Linked DNA regions of Lonchura striata. The protein of the gene in region 3 interacts with the protein of the main gene of each other region in a biochemical or structural test. Links are inferred from orthologs where the notes say so. Each region holds a gene or a part of one and is shown on either strand. Other genes may lie near its edges.

Region 1 (3,745 bases), on a different chromosome or scaffold from region 3:
ATATTTTTTCAATTATTTTAAGCTCAGGGCGTGCTTTTACAAATTGCCAAGCACCTCGGCGATGGGTATCGCCCCTTTCATCCCGATTAAAAACTGTTCTTTACATTCTGAGCCCTGTTTCTCCCAGGATCACCTTTCCCGCTGGGCCTTTGGTCGCGTTATGTCGCGATATGGAGAGCGCAGCCCTCGGCTCCCCTCCGCCACGGCTCCCTGGAATACAAATTAGATTCTTTAATATAATATATACATAATATATATATACATATATATATGTATATATGTATATATGTATATATATGTATATATATAATATATACATATAATATATAATATATCGTAAACATATTAACGCAATATAGAAAATATACGAATTATGTTAACATGATATATTACAGATATATTAACATATTTTAAAATATTCTAAGCTCAGGGCGCGCTTTTAAGAAACTGCCAAGCACCTCCGCGCTGGGTATGGCCCCTTTTATCCCTTGTTAACTCTGTTTAAGTTTCTGCATCCCGAGCGCCGTTTCGCTCAGCTGCGTGCCCAGACGCCCCGTCCCGCCGGGGCCGTGTGGCGCCCCGGCGCCCGGCCCGCGCCCGGCCCGCGCCGTGCCCGCGCCATACCCGCGCCATGTCCGCGCCATACCCGCGCCATGCCCGCGCCCGGCCCGCGCCCGGCCCGCGCCATGTCCGCGCCCGGCCCGCGCCCGGCCCGCGCCATGTCCGCGCCATGCCCGCGCCCGGCCCGCGCCATACCCGCGCCATGTCCGCGCCCGGCCCGCGCCCGGCCCGCGCCATGCCCGCGCCCGGCCCGCGCCATACCCGCGCCATACCCGCGCCATACCCGCGCCCGGTCCGCGCCCGGCCCGCGCCATGCCCGCGCCCGGCTCCCCTCACGCTCCGCCGCGCCTCCCCGGAAGCGGAAGCGGCCCCGGAAGCGGAAGCGGCCCCGGAAGCGGAAGCGGCCCCGGAAGCGCCGCCCGCGCCGCCATCTTGGCAGAGCCGTGCGGGGCCTGACGGAGCCCCGCGGAGCCGCGGCCGCCGCTCCCCGCCGCCCCCGCGGCCCGGCCGCCGCTCCCCGCCTGTCCCCGGTCCGGGAGGGGCCGCCCGGGGCCCGGCGGCCGCGGAGAGGTGAGCGGGGGGGACGGGCGGGCTGCCTCCGCGGCCCCCGCAGCTCCTCTCTGCCCTTCCGCTTCTTCCTCTGTTTTCGCTCTTCTTCCCTCCCTCCCTCCCTTTCCCTCCTTTCCCTTCTCTCTTTCAGTCCTTCCTTTCCTCGGCTGCCTTCCTGTCTCTCCTCCTTCTGCCCTTCTGCTTCTCCCTCCGTTTTTCCCTCCTATTCCCTCCCTTTCCCTTCTCTCTTTCAGTCCTTCCTTTCCGGAGCTGTCTTCCTGTTATCCCCCTCCTCCTCTCTGCCGTTCTCTTTCTCTGTCCGTTTTTCTCTCTTCCATCCCTCCCTTTTCCGCCTTTCAGTCCTTCCTTTCTTCGGCTGCCTTCCTGGCTCCCAATCGTGTCTGCCGTTCTGTTTTCCCCAACGTTTTTCCATTTTCTTCCCTCCCTCCCTTTTCCACCTTCTGCCTTTCAGTCCTCCCTTTCCTGGGCTGCCTTCCTGTCTCCCTTCCTCCTCTCTGCCGTTCTTCTTCTCCCTCCGTTTTTCCCTCTTTTTTCTTCCCTCCCTTTTCCACCGTTCAGTCCTTCCTTTCCTTGGCTGCCTCCCTCTCCCCCTCTCCTTCGAGTCCCTCCTTTCCTTTTCCCTCTTTCCCCTTTTCCTTCCAGCCCCTTCCTCTTTACCTCTCCCTTTCCCCCCCTTTCTTTCTCCTTTCCCCCTTTTTTCTCCATTTCCCCCTTGTTCTTCCTCCTTGTTTTCTCCTTTTCTCCTCTCCCTTTCATTCCCTCCCTTCCTCTTTCCCTTTTTCCTTTTCTCTTTTTCTCCTTTCTGTTTTAGTCCTTCCCCCCTTCCCCCTGCTTTTACCCCCCCTTTTTTGATATATAAATTAACTTGTATGACTAAATTAATTTGCATAGATAAAATAATTTATGTTAAGATCCCAAGGGATTTAATTATTGAGATTTTCCATGATTGTTGCTCTGTAAGAACCCAAATAATTCAGTTTCTGTCCCAGATCCAGCCCACAGAGCGGGTTTTGTGAAGCCCCGCGCTGGCCGGGCGGCGTTGCCGCCGTTAATTAGCAGGCTGGGTTAATTGTGGTGTAATTGGCGCAGATGAGCGGCAGCAGCGCTAAGAGGGCTCCCACCACGGCCACGCAGCGGCTGAAGCAGGATTACCTGAGGATCAAAAAGGATCCCGTGCCTTACATCTGCGCTGAGCCCTTGCCCTCCAACATCCTGGAATGGTGGAGATTGGGAAATGGGAATGGGAATTGGGGTGGGAATTCGGAATTGGGAATGGGAATTGGGGTGGGAATTGGGGCGGGCTGTTTCTTACTCCTGGGAATTGGGGTTGGAATTGGGGTGGATTGTGTCTCACCCCTGGGAACTGGGATGGGAATTGGGGTGGGCTGTTCCTCACTCCTGGAACTGGGGTGGGCTGTTCCTCACTCCTGGAATTGGGGTGGGCTGTTCCTCACTCCTGGAATTGGGGTGGGCTGTTCCTCACTCCTGGAACTGGGGTGGGCTGTTCCTCACTCCTGGAATTCAGCTGGAATTCCCAGGGGGAATTCCTCACTCCTGGACAGAAGGAATTTCCCAGGCTTTCAGCTCCGACTCCCTCTCCTGGAGCTGGGGCAGGCGGGGAGGGAAACTGAGGCTGATCCTGAATTTTTTTGGGTTTCTGTGGATTCCCAGTGTTCCATTCCCCTCTTTTCCAGGCACTACGTGGTGCGAGGGCCTGAGCTGACCCCATATGAAGGTAAATCCCTACCTGGGGGTTGGCATGGAAATTCAGGAATTCCAGAGGGTGGGAAAAGGCAAAGTAATCCCACTAAAAACTGGGGAAGAGGTGAAGAAACTGAGGTGCTGCTGTCAATCGTTTTTCTCTTATTAAGAGCTTTAATAAAATAAAATTTAGGTTAAAGCAAATATCAAATTTCTTCATGTTTTACAGAAATATTCTCTAATTTATGACAAAGATAATACCAAAAATTCCCATTTTTACAGCAGAAATGTCCTGAGTGATATGGGATTCAAATTTATTTGACCCATTTTTGGGTAGAAGAAGAAATAAAGCAGGGAAATTGGGAATTGGGGTGGGAATTATTAATTAAATATAATTTATTTAGCCCATTTTATGGGTAGTTTAGAAGAAATAAAGCAAGGGGAATTGGGATGGGAATTAATTATTAATTAAGTGTAATTTATTTAACCCATTTTTGGGTAGTTTGGGAGAAGGAATAAATCAGGGGAATTGAAGATAGGACCTGGAATTGGGGATGAGACTTTTTAATTAAACTCATTTAACCCATTTTGGGCTGGTTTGCAGGTGGATATTACCACGGAAAATTAATATTCCCTCGAGAATTCCCGTTCAAGCCCCCCAGTATTTATATGATCACCCCCAATGGAAGGTTCAAGTGCAACACGAGGTGAGGACTCATTCCCAGAATTCCAGCCATTCCCATCCCAGCCGTTCCCGTCCCAAATCAAGGACTCATTCCCAGAATTCCAGCCATTCCCGTCCCATCCATTCCCATCCCAAATCAAAGAGTCCTTCCCAGAATCCCAGCCATTCCCATCCCAGCGATTCCCATCCCATCCATTCCCATCCCAAATCAAAGAGTCCTTCCCAGAA
Region 2 (3,745 bases), on a different chromosome or scaffold from region 3:
TGTGGCTGCCCACCACAGGGACTGCTGCCAGCTTTTCCAGGGAAGCATCAGAGGGATTTTCTTCTTAGAGAGAACCACAAGATGGAGCAAAATGATTCCAGGAGCTCCTGTGTTTGACATCTCCCTCTTTCTGTCTGAAAACATCAACAAGAAAAGCTATTGGAGACCCACTGTGAAGCTGGAAAAACCTGCCATGGAATGCCAGGACGTGTGGAAAACAGCAAAGCTGAGTTTCAATCTGCTGCTGGGCTTTGGAACTTCAGAGAGGGCTGTGCCAAAGTTAAGGGCACTCTGAGCAAACTAAAGATCTCTCCTGGCAGTGCATCTGAGCATCTTGTTCAAATTTTGCACTAAAGGAGCTGCTGTAAGACACAGATCTGTTCTGTGCAGCACTGCTCATACAGTTTTCACCTACAGCCTGAATAGAAATTAGGTCAAGTGTCTCTGGCTGTGTTCTGTGTGTTACTGGCCACTGGTGTTCCAGAGGCCATTGATTAGGGAACACAGTGCTGGATAAGCAGCTGGGAGTGTCACCTCCTGCCACCAGCTCCAGCAGCTGCCCCATGGCTCACTCAGAGCCTTGGGCTTGGTGTTGAGCCCCCGGGACTGCTGGCACATTGGTTTGCTGTTTGTGGCTGAACTGTGCCTCAGCTGCTGCTGCCTCCCTGCAGAGCATCAGAAACTAGAAACTGATGGTCAGTCCACTAGATAGGAGAAAATCTGGTTGTTATTTTATCAGCACGTGCTGTACTGGCCTTCACCAGCTTCAAGTAAGGGGCTGATGCTGCAGATTGTTTCATGAATTTGGAATTGTATCAGTTTCCTAGCAAAAGTGAGGATTGATGGATCCAAACTTGCCTGTGCAGCCATGGCTGTTTTATTGATGCTTCTTTTTTTTTTTTTTTAACTCATATTTTCCATGCCCTGCAGGAGGTTGGATTGAATTCTCATGTGTTTGCTTCTGTTTTTGTGTTGTTCTGGGTTTTGCACTGGGGTGTATCAAACCTGAATGGTGCAGAGAGGTTACAGGAGTACAAACTTCAGGCTCTTATGCTATGCAGCAGATACCATAGAGGTGCAAGAGAAGAGTGTTTCCCAGGCTTTGTGAAAAGCTTTTGTCTTCCTTCTCAAGTTTAAATTATCGCCTCTGTGAAAACAGTGGGCTCAATGATCCTAGAGGTCTTTTCCAACCTAAACCATTCTGTGATTCCAAGGCTAGTTCTATGAACCTGAAAAACTCCGAAGTGCTAAATAATTTTGTCTAGAACACTGTCCTGCATTAAGCAATGGTGGTGGGGCCCCTGTGCTAAGCCATGGTCACTCAAACACCCCCTGAAATGTTTGGGCTTACAAGTCACCTCAACCTTCCTTGTGTTTCTGTTTTTGCAGAGCTGACCCTGAACCCTCCAGAAGGGATTGTAGCAGGTGAGGAACCAAGCAGGGTTTGTGCACTCTGGAGCTGTGACCTTGGGTTCAGGTAGCACTGAGCATTGTTCTGTTCTGTTTCACAGGTCCCATGAATGAAGAGAACTTTTTTGAATGGGAAGCCCTGATCATGTGAGTTAATACTGTTTGGTGTCTGAAATCAGCAGTTGCTGTGATGAGCTTCTAGGAGAGCAAGAATGTAAAAAAGTACTGACAGTTCTGTGTGACATCAGCATTGGCCTGCCTTCAGTTGGAAACTCCTCTGATCCAAAGAGGGAGTTACATTGGAACTTTAAACAGAGTGACAGAGGCAGCACTGGTGATGTGTACAACTTGTTATGATAACTTCTTGTACAGGTGTCATAATAATAAAATGCTCACAAATTTGTCAGGAATCCTCATTTGGGCTCCCTTGGATATATGTTACATTTACAAACACTGTAGGAAACAAACAGGTGCTTGTAGATCACACATACCTTTTGGAACATTGCCTAACTACAAATGCAGGACAAGTTTTGAGTGGAGCAAAATACACAGGTTATAGGTGAGAGGAAAATGAATTCACTTACTATTCAGTTTTTTTCTTGAAATATTGAAAGGTTCTGATCAGAAGTCAAAATTCTTTTGAAGTTCTTTACACTTCGTTAATCTCATGGTGCTGTCAAGAGTTGTGCAGTGGTTTTATGTAGAAAGAGATTCACTCTTCTGTTGGTGAATAGCTCTGATCCTGACCTGCTGTGTTTTGGGGCTGATGCAAACTCCTTTACTGTGTTCTCTCTCTTCCACTCCCCAGCTGATGGGTGTAGTTGTTGGTAGCAAAATTTGCCATGAAAAGACAAAATCTTTTTGCCCAGCATCTTACAGGTTGTCTTCTCTATTTTGTACTCCTACTCATGCTGTATCTTTTTTGGGAACTTCGAGTACATGGAATAACTGGTGATTTTTACAAAATAAAGTTCTAAAATGTCAGAGGAGAGGGGAAAAGACGTTGATCAGTAGCATCTGACAATTTCTGCAAATACTGCACAATTAAAAGATGAAGCTCCAGACCACTGAGTCCATCTTGAAGCTGGTGGTCTGTTGTTAGGGTAGATCCTGGCTCTGTGTTTCAGGATTCCTTTGGTAAGAATGGGTGATTTCCTCCCCTTCAGCCAGGGCTGGCTTGTCCCAGAGGGCTCTGGGGGCAGCAGGCAGTGGCTGTGGCCCTGCCCTCTCCGTGCCCACTGTGATCAGGGCAGGTTTCCCTGCAACCACCAGTGCTGACTGGTGAGATTCTCAGCTGGCGTGGGTGGCAGAGTTTTCCTAGCTGGGTTTGCTTGGAATGTGTTGTCTAGGGATGAAAAACAAGATTTCTGTCTCTTGGGCTCAGGCATGCAACCAATACAAAAGCTGTAGGGAATTCCCTATTCCACACAAAGTGCTTGTGTGGGTGATCCTGCTGCATGGCAAGTCAGAGCCTCTGAGTTATTTTAGACCTTGGTTAGTGGAGGTTTGGATTAGCACTGTTTGTTTGCTCATTGATGGCAAGAGTTGGCAAATGCCTCTGCTTATGTGCAGTGATTACTCCTGGGATAGCAGGTTGTGCTTCCTGGTAGCTCAGTGCCCTGAAAATAAACACTTAGCATGGAAATGGGTTGTTCTGTTGCCTGACAGCAGAGATTTTGGCTGCAGGGTCTTAGGCTTTCTGTGAGAGGCATAGTCAGCACATCTGCTTCGGAATGGGCCAGATTTCAGGTCAGACAGCTGGGAGTGTGGAAATCCCAGAGGGTTTTATGCACTTCTTGGAGCATGGAAGGAAATTCCTGCTTTTTGGTACTTCTTCCTAGCAGAGGCTGAGTACAGGTTTCCTGAGGGACACTCAGAAGTACTTCTGAATTGCTTAGAAAATACCTTTACTGATGTTTCCTGTCACATCCTTAAAGAGCAGAGGAGCTGCTTTGCAGACTTGAAAGCCCTTTAAAGTGCTGAGTGTTGAGCTTCAGGTCTTTGTCAGCGTAAAATGAGAGGCGGAGGTGCTTTAATTTTGGTTTCTGTATTGTGTGTGTGTCATAATAAAGTTATATTTTAAGATCTGCTCAATTTTGAAGGTGTGATACAATAGAAACATGTTTACCCTAAACACATTGGGTTACTTTCATCTCTTTACAAACCTTGTTAGTAGCAGTGTTTGCAATGCTTTTGGAAAGTAAGTTACATGACTTGTTTGTATTTGTCTGTGGTGGTCTCCTCCAGTGTTTTGTACTCTCAACTGTGCTGTGTGAGATTCAGGGAATGAGGTGTGCAGATGAGAAAATTGGAGTAAAGCTGCCTGCAAATTTTT
Region 3 (3,745 bases):
ACACAAAGAGAGCTCAGGGTTGCTACGACTCATTGATCAACCAGAAGGGTTGAAACAGCTGCCACAATGGAGCACTAAAACAATGCACACATACATTTCATCAGGATGGAATTCCTCTCTAGCCTGAATAAAATTAAATAGTTTTCTTCCTTAACAATATTCCTGCCAACTCAGCAGGGCATGAGCAACAGCTCTCAGAGCACATGGCAGAGTACAAAGTTTTAATGCGTGCTGCCCTGGCTAGGTAAGGCAGCAAGACATGGAAACATAAATGATTAAACTAAGAGAGATGTTTGAGCTTTGCTGAGCAGTTTATTAACTGTTGGAAAGCCCCGGCTCTGGAAGGCTTGGTGAGATTTGACGAACAGCACAGCTTGACACTGAGGAGGATGGCTATTTCCAGGGCTTACACATCCCTGATCTCTGGAACACTGACCCTCTCAAAATCTGGCTGACTTCACCTAGGGATGCAGCGTTTCTCTCCGGTTTGGAGTAGAAGAACTTAGAGCAGATTTTGGCTACATTTTGTCCGACTCCCGTGCTCTTCCCCCGCCGCCCGCTCCCGGCCGAGCTGCGGGGCCGGGCCCTGGCAGGCTGCGGGGACAAGTGCTGGATCCTGACCGGGGTCACAACAACCCCAGGCAGCGCTACAGGCCGGGGAGAAGGGAAAGCTGCCCATTGGAACTGGACCTGGGGGTGTTGGTCAACAGCTGGCTGAACACGAGCCAGCATGTGTCCAGGAGGCCAATGGCATCCTGGCTTGGATCAGGAACAGCGTGGCCAGCGGGACCAGGGCACTGATTGTCCCCCTGTATTCAGCATTGATGGGGCCACAGCTCGAGTGCTGTGTCCAGCTCTGTGCCTCAGCTCAGGAGATTGAGGTGCTGGAAAGTGTCCAGAGAGAAACAGCAAACCCGGTGACTGGTCTGGAACCGGGCCTGTGGAATGGCTGAGGCAGCCGGGGTTGTTTAGCCTGGCGTAAAGGAGGCTCAGGAAGGACATTATCCCTCTGAGCAACCACAGGAAAAGAGGCTGTAGCCGGGTCGGGATCGCATCTTCTTCCCAGATAGCTAGCGACAGGAGAGGGGACATAGTCTGAAGATGCAGCAGGAAAGGTTCTGATTGGACGTTATGAGGAATTTCTTCACAGAAAGAGTGATTGGGCTTTGGAGCGGGCTGCCCAGGGAGGTGGTGGAGTCACCGTTGCCGGAGGTGTTTAAGGAAAAGCTGTATGTTTGTGCCATGGTCTAGTTGACATGGAGGTGTTCGTTCATAGGTTGGACCCAATGGTCTCGGAGGTCTTTTTTTGACCCCGTGTTTCCGCAGAAGAGAGTGCGGCAGCCCCGCAGCAGCGGCAGCCCCGCGGCAGCGCCCGCCCGGCCCACTCGGGCCCGGCCCGCTGCGGGGCCTCCCTGCCCGCGCGCCCGGCAGGCGGCGCTCGCGGCGGGCGGCCGGCGCTCCGTCCCCGCGCGGCCGCGCTCGGCGCTCTCGGGCTCGGCGGCGCGGCCGGTCCGTCCGCTCGGCGCGCGGCCCCGCCCCCCACGGTCACGCCACCCGCCCGGCCGGCGCTGCGTCAGCCCGGCAAGATGGAGACCGCTGAGGAAGGTACGGCGCTCGCCCCGCTACCGCCTGCCCCCGAGCAGGGGCTCTGCCGGGGCAGCCTCGGAGGGTGGAGGGGCGCGGGAGCGGAGAAGGAGGGTGTCACCGGGCCCGCTGGGCGGGCTGGGGCTGTTCACGCCCGGAGGGGCGTCTCGCAGCGGAGCTGCAGGTGCCCGGGCCCCGCGCCCCTCCGCCGCGCCGCGGGGCGGGGCCGGGCCAGGGGCGCAGCGCGCGAGGCGGCGCGCGGTGCCCCTTACATAACCGCGGGGGGCGGCGCTGCCGCGGGCCGCACCCGGGCAGCGGGGCCGCACCCGGGCAGCGGGGCCCGCACCCGGGCACCGGGGCCGTACCCGGGCACCGGGCCCGCACCTGGGCAGCGGGGCCGCACCCGGGCAGCGGGGCCGTACCTGAGCACCGGGGCCGCACCTGGGCACCGGGGCCGCACCCGGGCACCGGGCCCGCACCCGGGCACCAGGGCCGCACCCGGGCACCGGGCCCGCACCTGGGCACCGGGGCCGCACCTGGGCAGCGGGGCCGTACCTGAGCACCGGGGCCGCACCTGGGCACCGGGGCCGCACCTGGGCACCGGGGCCGCACCTGGGCAGCGGGCCCGCACCTGGGCAGCGGGGCCCGCCGGAGCTTTCCGCCGGCTGAGGCTTTGCCTGGGGAAGGGGGGCCCGGGCAGACATGAGACCCCGGGAGGGAAAGCAGCAGGCCGGGTGCGCACGCCGGAGCAGCGGGGGAGGCGGCGAGGAGGGCACTGCCCCCAGCTCCCTCCTGCCAGCGGGCTCTGTCGGACCCGGCCGGCCCTGTGGCCCAGGGAGCCTTACATTTCCGCGTTTAGCTGAATAGTAATAACTGCTCCTTTCGCAAAGCTGACTTTGCTACTTGTGCTGGGCAATCTGTTTGGAAAATTGAAATATGGAGCAGCTGACATGTTTCTCTGTCTCTTTTAGAACAGACTAATACGTAGTCAGTTACCTAACTTAAAAATACTTGTCAAAGTATAATACTTGTCAAACCCCCCCTCAGTCATGAGGGGGATTCTATGTGTAGTATCCCTTTTTAAGGGTATTGCTTTATTTGAGATCAAACATGGATATATTTTGTCAGCACTTTTGTTATGCTTAGTTTATCACAAAATCACAGAATTGTTAAGGGTGTAAGGGATCTCTGGAGTTCATCTCCTCAAACTCCCCTGCCAAGGCAGGGTGACCAAGAACAGGTGACACAGGAATGTGTTGAGGTGGGTTTTGACTGTCTCCAGAGAGGGCCTATGTAGTTCAAGCAGGTACTGTAGAACTTTGACAGATCAGCATTTCATATTGTAGTGTAAACCAAACTAAATAAAGGATGTTAGTTGTGTTATGTTTCTTGCAGTATTGGAGCTTTGTTTGTAATCTCAAACAATGAGTGTAAATACATACTGCAGTAGCAAAGCAGTTCCAAGGAAAGCATTTTGCATCTTGGCTTTTGTTTCTTTGGCATAATTTTGAATGTAGCTTTTTATCAGGTGTCTCTTGGTTTTCCTGCTTGAGAGGATTAAACAAAAAAAGCTGGAAAAACATAAACTACTGGATGAAATGAGACACTACCTTTGTAGTAGTATCTTTTGGGTTGTGCTGTAGACATATTTAATACCCATGATCACTGATGGTTTATCAAAATATTAATGTTTCTTAAATGTAACATTTAAAGTTGCTTGCTGCAGCTCTGTAGACCAAGTTACTTACATCAATGAAATCAACCACATTTGTTGAATTCCACACTTGAAAATTGGACTTTTCTGTTTTTATCTATAAACACACACAAAGGCACATATATATGCAGCCTTAGATATTTTATTGTGTCCTTATCAATGTTGCCCTCAAAAGCTCCCAGTGGCAGCACGAAAGTAAACAGTCTATATACTCACTTTCCATAAATACCACTAGAATGTTACAACTTCTACAGTTTCAAACCTCAGATCCTACTATTAGAACTGCACACAGCTTGCCAGAATGCTGAGGAGACTTCCCAAGGTTAGAAAGCCGTGAACAGCAGCAGCAAAGAATGTGCTAGTGCCTTGAGGAAGAGGAAATATGATATTACTGTGTGCGTGAGCTTCTGCTACAAAGTGTCAGATGGACTTTCTGAACGGGTGATT

Evidence for each region.
Region 1: the proteins of MARCHF6 (region 3) and UBE2J2 form a complex in vitro, tested with the Homo sapiens proteins (2 studies listed by BioGRID, with this or other methods). The link is inferred for Lonchura striata from reciprocal best matches to the Homo sapiens genes MARCHF6 and UBE2J2.
Region 2: the proteins of MARCHF6 (region 3) and UBE2G2 form a complex in vitro, tested with the Homo sapiens proteins (2 studies listed by BioGRID). The link is inferred for Lonchura striata from reciprocal best matches to the Homo sapiens genes MARCHF6 and UBE2G2.

Annotation. Positions count from the first base shown.
Region 1 is NC_134626.1:577,459-581,203, forward strand, and holds the start of UBE2J2 (ubiquitin-conjugating enzyme E2 J2), read left to right. Parts: upstream 1-1,062; 5' UTR 1,063-1,131; intron 1,132-2,220; coding exon 2,221-2,351; intron 2,352-2,825; coding exon 2,826-2,866; intron 2,867-3,436; coding exon 3,437-3,539; intron 3,540-3,745. UniProt on the Homo sapiens protein: Catalyzes the covalent attachment of ubiquitin to other proteins. Seems to function in the selective degradation of misfolded membrane proteins from the endoplasmic reticulum (ERAD).
Region 2 is NC_134612.1:5,066,303-5,070,047, forward strand, and holds the start of UBE2G2 (ubiquitin-conjugating enzyme E2 G2), read left to right. Parts: upstream 1-1,313; coding exon 1,314-1,425; intron 1,426-1,511; coding exon 1,512-1,557; intron 1,558-3,745. UniProt on the Homo sapiens protein: Accepts ubiquitin from the E1 complex and catalyzes its covalent attachment to other proteins. In vitro catalyzes 'Lys-48'-linked polyubiquitination. Involved in endoplasmic reticulum-associated degradation (ERAD).
Region 3 is NC_134603.1:71,766,805-71,770,549, forward strand, and holds the start of MARCHF6 (E3 ubiquitin-protein ligase MARCHF6), read left to right. Parts: upstream 1-1,509; 5' UTR 1,510-1,586; coding exon 1,587-1,605; intron 1,606-3,745. UniProt on the Homo sapiens protein: Endoplasmic reticulum membrane-associated E3 ubiquitin ligase that plays a critical role in mitigating endoplasmic reticulum stress, the regulation of cholesterol and lipid homeostasis, and ferroptosis.